3 linked regions of the Oryctolagus cuniculus genome follow. The protein of the gene in region 2 interacts with the protein of the main gene of each other region in a pairwise test. Links are inferred from orthologs where the notes say so. Each region holds a gene or a part of one and is shown on either strand. Other genes may lie near its edges.

Region 1 (4,783 bases), on a different chromosome or scaffold from region 2:
ATTTAAAACATTCCAGAAAAAATATTAAGGGTGAGAGTGGTAGAGAATAAATGACAGAACGTGGGCGGCTGTTCAAACTGATGATGGATACATGGGAGCTCACTGTTCTATTTTCTTTACTTTTAAGTATGTTTGGAAATTTCCATTATAAAATTCAAAACAAAAACTAAAATTCAGGCTTAAAAACGAGTGTCACTTGTCCAATATATAATAATCCTCCAGGTCTCATGAACTCCAGTTTCCCAAATGTAAGGCTTAAAGTCATCAGTGTTCATTGCTGGAATCTTTTATTGTGGTATGAGCCCTGACACTGGTAACAGCTATAGATGAACAGGTCAGTAAAAGACCATTTCTTTTTTTTTTTTGATTGGCTTTTGTTCTTTAATTTTGCCAAAGATACTTGTTGTAGGATAGATGAGAAAAGAAATAAAGGGTAGTAGTACTTCAAAATATACATAGCTAACTCACTTCTGTGATATCTCTTGCCCAAAAATGCATCACCTATCTTTAATCTCATTACCTAAAAGCATCAGACTCAAATTAAGGAACACTGTATTTTGTATATAAAATCATATATATATATATATATTCATATATATATATATAATTGCCTAGAATTCTTCAAAAGTGTTAATGAAAAGAAAAAGACCAAGGAACCACCAAATGCAATGCAAGCAAGGTCTAACATAGGACCCTGGAGCAGATAATGGACATTAGTGAGAAAATTAGTAAAATTTCAGTGAGGTCTGCTGTTATGGTTAATTTGATAACTATTATGGTTACTCAAGCATTAGAGGAAGCTAGGTGAAGAGCATATGAGAACTCTGAAAACTTTTTATAAATTTAAAATTATTTCAAGGGGATGGCATAATGGCTCCAAATGCTGGTTCAAGCCCCCCCCCCCCCCTTTTTTTTTTGACAGGCAGAGTGGACAGTGAGAGAGAGAGAGACAGAGAGAAAAGTCCTCCTTTTGCCGTTGGTTCACCCTCCAATGGCCGCCGCGGCTGGCACACAGCGCTGATCTGAAGGCAGGAGCCAGGTGCTTCTCCTGGTCTCCCATGGGGTGCAGGGCCCAAGCACTTGGGCCATCCTCCACTGTACTCCCTGGCCACAGCAGAGAGCTGGCCTGGAAGAGGGGCAACCGGGACAGAATCCGGCGCCCCGACCGGGACTAGAACCCAGTGTGCCAGTGCCGCTAGGTGGAGGATTAGCCTATTGAGCCGCGGCACCGGCTTAAGCCCTATTTACTCTGCATCCCATCCAGCTTTTTGCTAATGGACCTGGGAAGGCACCTGAAGATAGCGTAAATACTTGGGACCCTGCCACATGTGACCATAATGGAGTTCCTGGCTTCAAGCTGGCCTAAACCTGGCTGTTGTAGCCATCTGGGGAAGTGAACCAGCGGATGAAAGATCTCTCTCTATTGCTCTGCCTTTCAAATAAATAAATCTAATAAATAAATCTTTAAAAAATAAAAATATTTCAAAATACAAAGTATATATAAAAATAAACAAAAATTCTATAGGTCCCACAGAAACTGCTAGATAATGTTGTGGTTGCATAAAACCTAGAATGTTACACGACTGGCTAAAAAGAAAGCCATCAGTACTTCCCCACCTGCCCTCCACAAATCCAGACGCTCAGTATCTCAGTAGAGAAAGAGGTGCACTGCCTACCTCGCTCTGAGTCAGAACGATCTGAAGAAATAGTTGATCCAATGCTGTCCATTCGTATCCGTTCCATCTCCTGGGGGCCCTGCAGCTGTTCCAGTCTCCGCTTCAGAAATCTCTGTTCTCGCTCCAAGTTCTCGAGTTGGTGCTGGCTCTTCCTTTCAGCTTCTTCAAGTTTCTAAAATGATAAAATGCTATTTACGTTTGTGTGCAGTCCAATACAAACAGATTTCTACCTAACATCTGAAAATTTTCTGGCAGAGAAAACAAATGAATCATACATAAATGCCTATTTTTTAAGCATCAACATAGTTCTCTCCTTTTTTGTGTATGAACACCACATTTCTTGAACAATAAGGACTTCTGAAAAGCCATCTGCACTGAGGATTCTACAGTAATCTGAGTGTGGTGGTATCTGATGGAAAAATACTGAGGGAACTTAACCAAATGAAGTCCTCTCCACCAGAGGGCACAACTGCTGTCCTTCTGGGCATCAAGAAAGTAACTGTTACTTTCCTAGCATTCCCAGCTCTTCAGACGGCTACGCTGTCAAAATAATTTAGCTTAATCAGGTTATGTTGCTCCCATCAGATTAGCTGGTAAGTTTTTAAAAAGATTTCTCTTGAGATACTTAAGGAGGGCACGGTAAGTTAGCTGATATGTATGAGTAGGAATCATTCCTAATAATTTAAGCAGGACTCAGAGAATCATGTACAAATCTGAAAGTAAAAATTCTCACCTTGATGTGTGCTTTGGCTTTGTTGAGCAAACCAAGTGTTGTATGCCTGGTGCAGTCTGGTCCTAGAGGAATCAGAACTTTTAAGCGTTCTAAACATAGGCGCAGATGAGCTCGCCTAAGACAAAGAAATAGTCAAATTAGCACAGTCTGGGTATTCCAGTAGAAACATGATAAAGTCTTATTCTAAGACAAACAGTACTTTGCAGTTATTCAGCCTATACCCATTTTAGAACCCTAATTCTTCAGTTTCAAAGTGTGTACAGGGGTGCCTGCATTTCAGATTGTGCTACTTCTGTTGTACTCTGTTCCACTTCACATTACTGTCCCCAGTGGTAATCTGTTACTGATGGTTTATTTTTTAGTCTATCCCATAAACTGTCTCAACTTTATTAATATGGAAGTGTGAAAATATACTAAGCTAACTGTTTGATTTAGAAAGCCGATAACCACAGGGTAGCACAGGGCTTTTCAGTTGTGGCACTCTAAAGAGTTAAAAAAATGTTCCCAAGTTTGCATTTCCTTCTTCCTACTCTTTACTTGCACACATACATCCCCACAATTAACAGCCATCTTAATAATGTTTCCTGTCGTTGTGTGTGTATGAAGTTAAGCTACATGAAATTTCATATTCAATCATTTCTCATCTATAAAAATGCCAATTTCATAAGATCCAGCACAACAAAAACAGCAACATTCTGTAACCAATCTGACAAAATATGCAGCCTCGTCTACAATTCTAGCCACTCAGACAGCCCAGAATACTATCCCCTTCTTAGCTAAGTATACCGACATTATTACCTTAATTTTTAATTTTCTTTCTTCCTCTCACTACATACTTCCAATTTTCTCCACAAGGAAAACAAGGGATAAAATTCTTTACTGAAAGTCATCATATTCTTTTGCCCACTATCTTGTGGTGAAGTTGGGAGGAATTTCTCATGGACTGTTAGCAGACAGCCTCATGCATTTACCTCTCCTGTGCTCTAAAAAGAACTAAGATCGTGGGGAGGACAGTGAGTTCTGAGCACATCTTCTTCATCTTGAAACAATATGAAGGTACTTCAGAAAGTTCATGGAAAATTAGAATTAAAAGATGGTTAAGTGCAAAACATTTTTTATTTTTGGACCATATATTTATGGATTTTTTATGAGCTTTCTTAAAATACCTCGTACTAGTCCACATCTTTGGTCCCGTGTTTTGTAAGTCATAATGTAATCCAGCATTTAACAGCATATCTGAACAAGAAAGTAAGTTCATATACTTCTTAAAGAGCTGTAACTGAACTTACAGCAACTCTGTCGACTGTATTAGAAACAAAGCATACCCTCCATTTGCTTCTCAAAGCAAACCAAAATGGTTTTACAAACTGATCCACTAAACTGCTTTGTCTTAGGAAATAATGTCAAGTGGAATTCCCAAATACTACCAATTTCACAGAGTGGAAGGAAATGATGATAAGCAATCAATTATGTCACAAGCAAGGACAAATTACCAAGACTCTTAGCACCCACTAGGCCAGCTATTGTTAAAGGTATTATTATTCCCATTTCAGATATCTTTACTGAATTCAATACTTCAAGTCTATTAATTGTCTCCAGGCTGAAATCTGACATACCTGGTGTGGATAAAGGAATGTTCTTATTTTCCTAAAACTAAAGGTGCACCAATGGATTGCCTTTAATATTATTTACTAATTTTAAAGTCACTATCTTCTAAAAGTTAATAAAGCAACTAGGAAAATTAGAAAAAAAGTATCTTAGTACAAAGAACAGCTTCTGAAATTTGGGTTACTTAACTGCAGAAACAATATATTTAGGAATTATCTTTCACATTTTAATCTAAGAACTTTAAAATGATTCCTTACTAGCTTCAGGGTAAGGAAGAAAAAGTTGGGTTAATTCCCTCTTTTGTGAGATTTACTAAAACCTAGGCTGAAAATTAAACTCTTTTTCTTCTCTTTTAAAAATCATTTAGTAGTATATTAATTATATGACTTGTGTACTCAGCACTGTTCCAGACACTTGCTGGAGCAGGAAAAGTAAAGAAATGGATTTTTGTGAGTTTACAGTCTAGGCTACAGATGAAACACTATTTTGTTTCACTTGGTCCGTACTGAAATGAATCTGACACGTATCAAGGGCAACACACTCTGAATAAATGCAGACTGGAAGGGGAGGAGGCAGGCTTGTGAGAGAGGCTGAAATCTGACTTTCGATTTGAAGAATATTGAATTTGTGAAAAAGCAAGGATTTTCCAGGTAATTTAAAAAGAGTAAAAGGACCTAAATTTACAGATTGGGCCAACTTCAAAACTAAAATTAAATAGATTATTTTCTTTCATCCAAGGGAAAACTGAGTTGAAATTCTGTGAGGA
Region 2 (3,863 bases):
GCTGTGTCTGCCTCTGCTGGCGTTTCTGGGTTGTCAGTCTTTGCAGCTTTTACTCTGGGACAAATGAGGTGAAAAGAAAACCTAAGGAGCCCACCACAGCATCGTTCCTCAGGCCCCAAATCTCTACTTAGCCTGTTTTATTCTTTTACTTTTCAGAGTCTTCTTATATTTGTTTTATATGTAACTTCCAGGATTTTTAGCTATACAGAGGAGGAAGAATAAGGAACTGTGCACCCAGTTAATATTTTTTTGGAAGGTGAAATTCTTTACTTTGCTTTTTAAAGGTGAGACTAATTATTCTTATTACCTAAATGTCCAGTGACAGCTCCATGTGCCTGTGGTATATTATGCAACCACTAAAATGATGGTCATGAGATAATCATGTTATTTATTAGGACTGAAAATGCTTAGATGACATAGTGAAAAAGGGAAAGATTACACAACTGTTTATCTGCAAATGTGATTGTATCTAGGTGGAAAAACCTGTTTTAAAAAGGCTAACAATGATTGCTGGGTGGGGGATGGGAGGAAATTATGCAAGAATTTTCTCCCTTTAATGTGTTAATGTTTTAAAAAGTTAACTTAGTACTTTCCTAATAAAAATAAAACATGTTGTATTATGTTTTTTAATGTTTAAAATATTTGAGAAAAAGAGGGCCAGGGAGCAGTGCTGTGGTGCACTGGGTTGAAAGCCCTGGCCTGTAGTGCCAGTGTCCCATATGGGTACTGGTTCAAGTCCTGGCTGCTCTACTTCCAATCCAATTCCCTGCTGATGTGCCTAGGAAAACAGGAGGATGCCCAAGTCCCTGGGCCCCTGCACCCACAAGAGAGACCTGGAAGAAGCTCCTGGCTCCTGGCTTCCAATCAGCCCAGCTTTGGCCATTGCAACCATTTGGGGCGTGAACCAGTGGAGGGAAGACCTCTCTTTCACTCTTGGTCTCTACGTCTCTCTGCAATTCTGTCTTTCAAATAAATAATATAAATATTTAAGAGAGAGAGACAGACAGTGAATGAGCAGGTATGTCATTTGCTGGCTCATTCCCCAAGTGCTGGGAGCTGGGAACTCAATCCAGTTTCCCATAGCGACAACAGAGACCAAACACTTGAATACCCACTGCTGCCTCCCAGTGTGCACTTTAGTAGGAAACCGGAATTAGTGTCAGACCTGGAACTTGGACCCAGACACTTGGATATGTGATGTGGGTGTCACAAGTAGAGTTGTAACAATTGCACCGAATGCCTTTCCCAGTTTATTATACTTTATTTATAAGTTTTCTCTCAAAAAGATGCATACAAGTATCTTCCATGGTAGGTGACATTTTGCATGGATTTAATGTATTTGTATTTGAGGAGTTAGAGAATATTTGCAAATTCAAACTATGGTCATGGGTTTAAACAACTGCTTTGCCATCAGGCGGCTTTTATATTAAGAACAAGAAGTCACAGAGCTGTATTTACCATGCTAAAGCAATGAAACACATTGTATTTGGAGATTTGCAAGAAAGCTCTACTGGCTCCTAGAATACCAAAATGAGCTGAAAGGAGAGAAAATGATAAAGCAGAAATATCTAAGGATACTTGGAGGACAATTGAAGCTCTACAAGCCCTCCAGAGTTGCGTTTCTGGTTTTGACGTCCGTCATTGAAGCCCGTCTCCTGGCCTGCTGACATGCTGAGTGTTTAAGGATCACAAGTGGCAGTTTTCAATTGTGCAGAGAACGTAGGCTGAGCATGGCTCACAAGTGCTGTTTGATGTGCACGCTGTAGAACAGGGATTACAGGAAAGCCTGGGGAAAATTAAGGTGGATCCAAGCTGAACCAGGGAATCTTGATAACATGTCCAAGTTCAAGTTCACCCTACACATTGCATTCTGGAGAAAACTCCTTGTCAAACAGCCTTGCAGGGAAGCCTGTTTCAGCTGTGGACCCAGAGTGTTACATGGTGCTCCCTGCAGCAGTGGCTGCTGAATAATATGTTGGGGGTGTTTTCTTCATTTTGTAGTATACTGTCTTAGGCGTGTTCCTGATTAGTGGAAAAGAGGTGCGTGAAGAAGCCCCCAGCTTGGTCCTTGTTCTGCTCTGGGGCTTCAGAATATGCTAGGACTTTTCTATTGGTGTGTGCTTAGCCTCAGCTAGGTTTTCATCAGTCTTTCAAAAAGATCCCTCGATGCACTGGGGAGGTTTGACCTTGGCCCTACGGGGGAAACAGGATTCTTCACATCAGCCACTTTGACTGGGGGATTCCACGAGTCACTGGGGAACTCACCTGCAGTCCTCACTGTCCAGCAGGCCCCGGTACGTGCTGATCTCTGACTCCAGCCGGGCCTTGGTGTCCAGCAGCACCTGGTACTCCTGGTTCTGCCGCTCCAGGTCGCAGCGGATCTCAGCCAGCTGGTTCTCCACATTATCAATCAGGCATTGCATCTGGGCCAGCTGGGTGCCGTACTGGGCCTCGGTTTCTGCCACAGTGCATTCCAGGGATTCTATCTGCAGGAGGAAGACATTGTCCAAAGACTAGCACAGTCTCTGGGGCCAGACAACTTGTGTTCAAATTCTTGCTCTACCCTTTTCCAGCTATGTGACCTCGGGAAAGTTCCTTAGGTTCTCTGAACCTCAGTTTTGTTCTCTGTAGAATGGAGAATGCAAAGTCCCTATCTCATGGGAAGGCTGTAAGGATCAACCAAGTTGATATATGCCAGTGCTCGGAGAAGTGTCTGGAAGAATTTTAAGGGCTGTGGAAACGTTAGCTATTGCACCTGTGATTACTGCAACCGATGGGGTGTTTGTGTATCTTACGGAGTATCCGTAGCATTTGAGAAGAACTCTGAATTTGGGGTCCTGGTAGGAGGAGTGGGATAGTGTGGTTTACAGGAGGAGCTCCGGGTTGAACCACTTGGATTCAGCTTCCACTTCTGCATGACCTTCTGCAGATTTCTTAATTTGAATATCAGTTTTCCTTGTCATTGTTATGGGGTTAATAAAGGTTTCTATCCCATAAAGTTATGGTCAGGCTTGAATTAGCATGATGCCTCTCACAAGAAGAGTGCTCAGCTATTCTTCATCTAGAAATTCTGCAGGACCCCACACAGTCCACACTGCAGTGCTGGACTGGAACTGGCTAGTGTAATCTTGCCTGCGTGGTAGCCTTGCTGCCTGCGTGGGCTGGGTGGCGTGCAGTGAAGGATCAGGGTGAAGTGTGGATCCTGAGAAGTGTTATGATCATTGTAGGGTGAAAAGTTTAAAGTCTTTGTTTTAGTATAATGGTGATCTTGGCATATTGGCCTGATCAAAAGAGACTTAAAATCCTCTGGACTGCCTACGTGCTATGCTGCTGTGGCCTCTCCACTCCTGCCTGTCTCTGGGGGGTGCCGCAGGATCGCACTCAGGCCTGCGGGGAAGGTTAGAACACCCTGGTGGGCCGGTGCAAGCTGTTGACCTGTCACTTCTGCCTCTAGCTGGGTAAGCATGGTGGTTGGAAAGGCAAGGAAGCGGAATCCTTGCAACTTGGAAATCCAGACCTGCCACACGAACTGGGGATCTCTGCCTTGGGTTGTGGGAAAGGGTGTTTGTCAGAGCCCGATTTATCAGTGACAAGGCGGACACCTTCTTTGCCATACGCACCAGGCTTTGCTGTGCCTGAAGTTCAATTTCCAGCGTGTTGGCTGTGCGTTTCAGCTCCAGCATCTCCGTCTGGCAGCCCTGCAGCTGCTCTGCACTGGACAGCTGCTGCTGATTCAGCTCCTCTGTCTGAAACACAGGCATGGTTAGAGAACCCTGCCGAGGCACATGCGGGGAGTCCTGCTCCCATGTTGCTTCGGGCCTGACCTGAGCAGCGAACCACTCCTCCACGTCTCTGCGGTTGTT
Region 3 (4,783 bases), on a different chromosome or scaffold from region 2:
GGGAACTTCTAAGAAAAAACAAAAAACAGCTGTGTGTGTATGTTGAGATTAGCAACATCGTATCCTAGTAACTGGCAAGAACTGAGCATTGTTCATCATCCTCATCAGGAATGTAGCCCTAACCTCCCTGCTATGGGCACCAAGAAACTGTTCCATCGGCAGCTCAAGTTTTGCAGCTCCAGCTCCAGGAAGACCAGAATGACAAGAGATCCAAGAATGTAGCGAGGCTTGGCCCTGTTTACAGGGGACTCTGGTTGGAACTGTCTCGTCAACATCCTGGATTCTGTCATTTCTTCCCCCTGTGGCAATCTACCCTTTCTCCTTGGTAGAGGTGAAACGCCGGGCGCACTCAGCCACAATCCCTCTTCCTGCTGAGGTTTCCCACCTGTCTCAGGAGGCTGCAGCTCCTCTTCACGACACGGGCTCTGTTCCTCCACTGCCTCCAGATCTGGGCTTGGTGTGGTTTCCTCCTGGGACTGCTCAGGGGTCGAGGTCTGCGCAGGATCCTGCAGCTCACTGGGGGACCCGGCCTCTGTCCCTGGATGCACTGTCTCCTCTGATAGAACTTCCTGGCCGTGAACATGGACGGTCACCTGGGAATAATTCCAACTTCCCGTCACCGTGGAGTCAGAAGAAAATTCTTGGTTGTTATCCTGGCTTATCTGGGGAGAAGCTTCCTTGGGGAAAGCTCCCCCAGGAGCAGGGTGAGGAGGCCTGGGAAGGGGAGCTGAAGGGTTTCCTCCCCAGGACCAGGCAGAAGACACTCACCCTGTTCCCAGCACCCGGGGCTCTGGGGCTCCCATCCTACCCACCTCTACTACCCCACCTACAGTGCCCCTTGCTGTCCGCTGCTATGGCTGACCACCCTGGAAGGGAAGCTGGGACTGGGTGTTGAAAGGAACTTTTGAAGAAGTCGCCAAATTCTCCTCCCTCGGAACTGAAAGCTCAGCATCCAGAGGGAAAACCAAGGCCAGGACTCTGGAGTGGCTGAGTCCCCCCAGATGCTCCCTTGGACAGGTGTTTCAAACCCAGAAGGTCACACTCATACACACACGTCCCCCTGCCAAGCCCGAGGCAGAGTCAGTTAGATGTTGAAGGATAATCGACAGAGGCCCTGTGAGCTCTCCCTGCCCACCCAGCCTTCCAGAAGGGAGTCCCCCTCCACATCACACAGATCAGGACTCCCCCTCCTCACCCACCGCCTTGGTCTCCTGGGCTGTTTCTGCAAACCCTCCACCAGCGTCACCGCCTCCTCGCCGCTTTCTGGCCGTTGGCCCCGCACCCAGCTCTGCAGTTCTCCAGGCAGGACGGTAAGGAACTGCTCCAGCACGAGCAGCTCCAGGATCTGCTCCTTCGTCCGCCTCTCTGGCCTCAGCCACTGATGACAAAGTTCTCGGAGTCTGATGAGAGCTTCCCGAGGGCTCGCTGCTTCCTGATAGCGGAAGCGGCGGAAGTTCTGGTGAGATGTCTCCAGCACAGGGTCGTCCCTTTGCAAGACAGACTCTGGCCGACAGGGGAAATCATCTTCCAGTTTCACCGTGAAAATGCCCTCTTCTTCCCAAAGCCCTTGGTCCTCTGGCTCCAAGGCTGTGGCCATTTCCTGGCTCTGGGGCGGTCTCACACCATCTAGAGCTCACACTGGCATTGCCCCCAACTCTCAGCCTGGACACCTCGAGGAGTTTCTCCCAAGGGACCTGGATGAAGAAATAAAGACAAAGGGTCACGTAAGTGTGAAATGATACACAAGTTCAGGACAGGCCCCTACACATAATTCTTCACCTGATTATGTCCCCTTCCCCCTGGTCTCCATACCTTGTGTTGTGCTCTAGTGAGGACAGGAGATTATGCATGACTGGAGACTGGTCCTCTACTCCCTTTCCTAAGCCACATTCATAGCCCAAAGGAAAATACTGCATTTCTATTTCTATTTCATGGATACTACCGATTTTACCTTCTGCCTCCAAATCTGTTTTCTCTTCTTCCTTCCTGCCAGCTGCTTTAGTCTGTACCCTTGCTGTGATCTCCAACTGGGGTTCCTGCAGTATTCCAATGGCTAGGAGTAAGCACTCTTACAATCAATCACCTACTAGGACTGACCACAGCGTTTGTTGTATGTATATGCCTATTTACATATGAACTAGCATGTACTAGGGTACTTCAAAAGGTTCATGAAAAATGAGATTAAAAGATAAGTTTATTTGGGTGCAAAAAGTTTTGAAATTCGTGCACAAAAGGGACCTTCAAGCAGCTCATGAAAAAATGTACATTATGCAAAAATGTATGGATTTTACAATATTTTTGCACCAAAATAAACTTTCAATTCCATTTTTCCATGAACCTTTTGAAGAATCTTCATACATCCTGGGAAACAGTGGCAGGGCTGCAATAGATGTGGAAGGCTTTATGGAGGTGCACTGTGTTCTGACTCAGTCAGGATTAACTGATAAAAAATGGGGACTCAAGAGATTTGAGGGGAGGGCTCTGTAACAGTGAGGGCTTACATAGTGGTTGGCACACAGAAACCCTAAAAACCAACCTTTCTTGTTAAGACATCTTCAATCGGCTGACGCATGGCCCCTCAAGCTCAAGTGTTCAAAACTAAATTCATTATTCCTACTCCCAAACCTACTTGTTTCTGGAATCATGTCTTGGCTGAGATCATTGTTACTAACAATCGACTTTGTAGTAAGCGTTGGATTCACCTGATTCTTCCTCGGTGCTTAACGCTCATTAAACCAACTCTATCACTTAAGCCTCTGTGTTTCTTCCTCTTCCCTTCCGGCAGACAGCTTTATTCTGGGCCCTCATCATTTCTCTTTGGGACCACTGCCATCATCTCCTTACTGGGGTCCCTACAGTAGGCAGTTACAAGCACAATGCAAAAGAGTTACAGGAGGAGTTTTTGCAAAAGGGTACAGTATCACACATCACTCTTTTGGACATTCTGATTCAACCTAGACAACTGTAATTAAGCAATGCCATATGTAGTTCTACTGTGCATCCATGGTTGAGAAACACTGAGGAAGGTGTGTAAGGTTAAGAGCCAGGGCCCTGGAATCAGACAGCTATGGTTTGGATCCTGGCTCTACTGTACTTTGTCTACTGGGACAAAGTTGGAACTATGGTCAAGTTCTTATTCTCTTTATGCTGGCTCTCCATTTACCAAACAGAGATAATTGTGGCAATCATCCAATAGGGTACAGTTAAGTATCAAATGGAGTACTAAATGTCTAGAAGACTAATGATACTCTACTATTAATCATATCTAAGTTATAGGTCTAACTACATTGCTCATATTTAAAATAGTAAGTTCTTAGTAAGATTAGTTTTGAAATCCTGGGCACAGGATAGTCAACCCCAATCTGTTTTCCAAGCCTACATTGTACTCTTCTTTATCACCTATCTATACTGAACGCACTGATCCACCTACAACAGGGTGCCCTTTCAGGCCTCCATGCTTTCTTGAAGCCTGCTCCCTCTAAATAGAACATTCTCCAACTCCTCCTGTTCCTGTTTATTCCTAACACGTTCTCTCTTCTTCACTCCCATGTTTTACAGGGAAACATGCTCTGTTTTATCTTTCTGAAAGCATCAAATTGTAAAAGTGAGCCCTTGAATGGAATTTGATTTGCTTTTACTAAAATGCTAAGTTTCATTGACCCTGGATAAGTCTTTAGGTTAAATTTATCAGGGTATTCCTGAATCATGCACTTAATGTACTGTTTGACCTCTGTCCTCAAGTGATTTTGGTCCTAGTCAAACTTATGGAGATCTAACTTCCTTGCACTTTTCGGGCCAGCAGACAGATTTTCATGGAGAAGTAGCTCTGAAATGCTCAATTCTACAGCCTCCATACCTCCTAATATCGTAGTCCTATTTCCTGGTCGCAGCACAGGTATTAGAAGCCTAGAAAACTTTTCTTGGTAATAACATCCCCTAAGCCCATGGTGGAATCAACTTGTACTTATTTCTCTAGCTTTTATGTCTGCCTCTGAAAGCGACACATTTATCTTTAGTTTTTGGGAGAGACTACATAGGCAGGAAGCTCACCCACATTAGCTCCACTGAGATATGGTGAAGTAAAAGCAGTGAGCTTTCTAAACACACAAAACCTGCCAATGGCTTTGTCGTGTCCTTAGGATAGAACTGAAACTCTTTGCAACTTGATGCTCAAGGCCCTTCTAGACCTGGCCTGATGACCTCCTTTCTCCTTGACCGCCACCCCCACTGAAGGCCACAGCTGGAATGACTATTCAGTGTCTCTGCCATGCCCTCACCGGGCCTTCCTGACACAGCTCACTCAGCCTCTCCCTTTGGCTACCTCCACTCATCTTTCAGTTCGTTTTCCTGTAGTGCCCTCTCCAATCACTGGAGATTATGCTCCCCAGGAACTTGCTCCCCACCATACCACAGCATGCAATGTATGCATACTTGGTCATCAAAGTTGTTCCTTTTGCAGTTAAACTCATTGGACTGAGAGGTGCTGAGGGCAGCATGTGCTGCAGCCAGATCAGAGTCTGGCCCCCAAAAGGTGAACTACTGAATGCTAAGCACGCTTTCTGTTTAAGTCTGTCTCTGGAAGGACAGATGCCATGTTGTATTATTTATTCATTCATTTGTCCAGCAATCTGTGTGCTGGATAAATTAATAAATAAGAAAAGACATTTATTGTTTGCACTGTGAGAAAAACGGAATACTTTCATGGTTCCCAGAGTGATGGAACCACAAGTCATCACAAGGAGTGTTCAGTTTTACATGGGGATAATCCAAATGCAAGTCACAC

What was found. The genes of interacting proteins can lie anywhere in the genome.
Region 1: the proteins of KRT40 (region 2) and MXI1 interact in binary tests that used the Homo sapiens proteins (3 or more experiments, as listed by UniProt). The two-hybrid records come from large-scale screens. The link is inferred for Oryctolagus cuniculus from reciprocal best matches to the Homo sapiens genes KRT40 and MXI1.
Region 3: the proteins of KRT40 (region 2) and ZNF202 interact in binary tests that used the Homo sapiens proteins (3 or more experiments, as listed by UniProt). The two-hybrid records come from large-scale screens. The link is inferred for Oryctolagus cuniculus from reciprocal best matches to the Homo sapiens genes KRT40 and ZNF202.

The regions. Positions count from the first base shown.
Region 1 is NC_091446.1:19,963,045-19,967,827, forward strand, and holds part of MXI1 (max-interacting protein 1), read right to left. Parts: intron 2,525-4,783; coding exon 2,410-2,524; intron 1,849-2,409; coding exon 1,677-1,848; intron 1-1,676. UniProt on the Homo sapiens protein: Transcriptional repressor. MXI1 binds with MAX to form a sequence-specific DNA-binding protein complex which recognizes the core sequence 5'-CAC[GA]TG-3'. MXI1 thus antagonizes MYC transcriptional activity by competing for MAX.
Region 2 is NC_091448.1:21,611,588-21,615,450, reverse strand, and holds the end of KRT40 (keratin, type I cytoskeletal 40), read right to left. Parts: coding exon 3,825-3,863; intron 3,747-3,824; coding exon 3,621-3,746; intron 2,487-3,620; coding exon 2,266-2,486; intron 1,787-2,265; coding exon 1,687-1,786; 3' UTR 1,244-1,686; downstream 1-1,243. UniProt on the Homo sapiens protein: May play a role in late hair differentiation.
Region 3 is NC_091432.1:116,114,113-116,118,895, forward strand, and holds part of ZNF202 (zinc finger protein 202), read right to left. Parts: exon of another isoform or gene 2,703-4,783; intron 2,692-2,702; exon of another isoform or gene 1,952-2,691; intron 1,695-1,951; 5' UTR 1,598-1,694; coding exon 1,196-1,597; intron 594-1,195; coding exon 386-593; intron 9-385; coding exon 1-8. UniProt on the Homo sapiens protein: Transcriptional repressor that binds to elements found predominantly in genes that participate in lipid metabolism.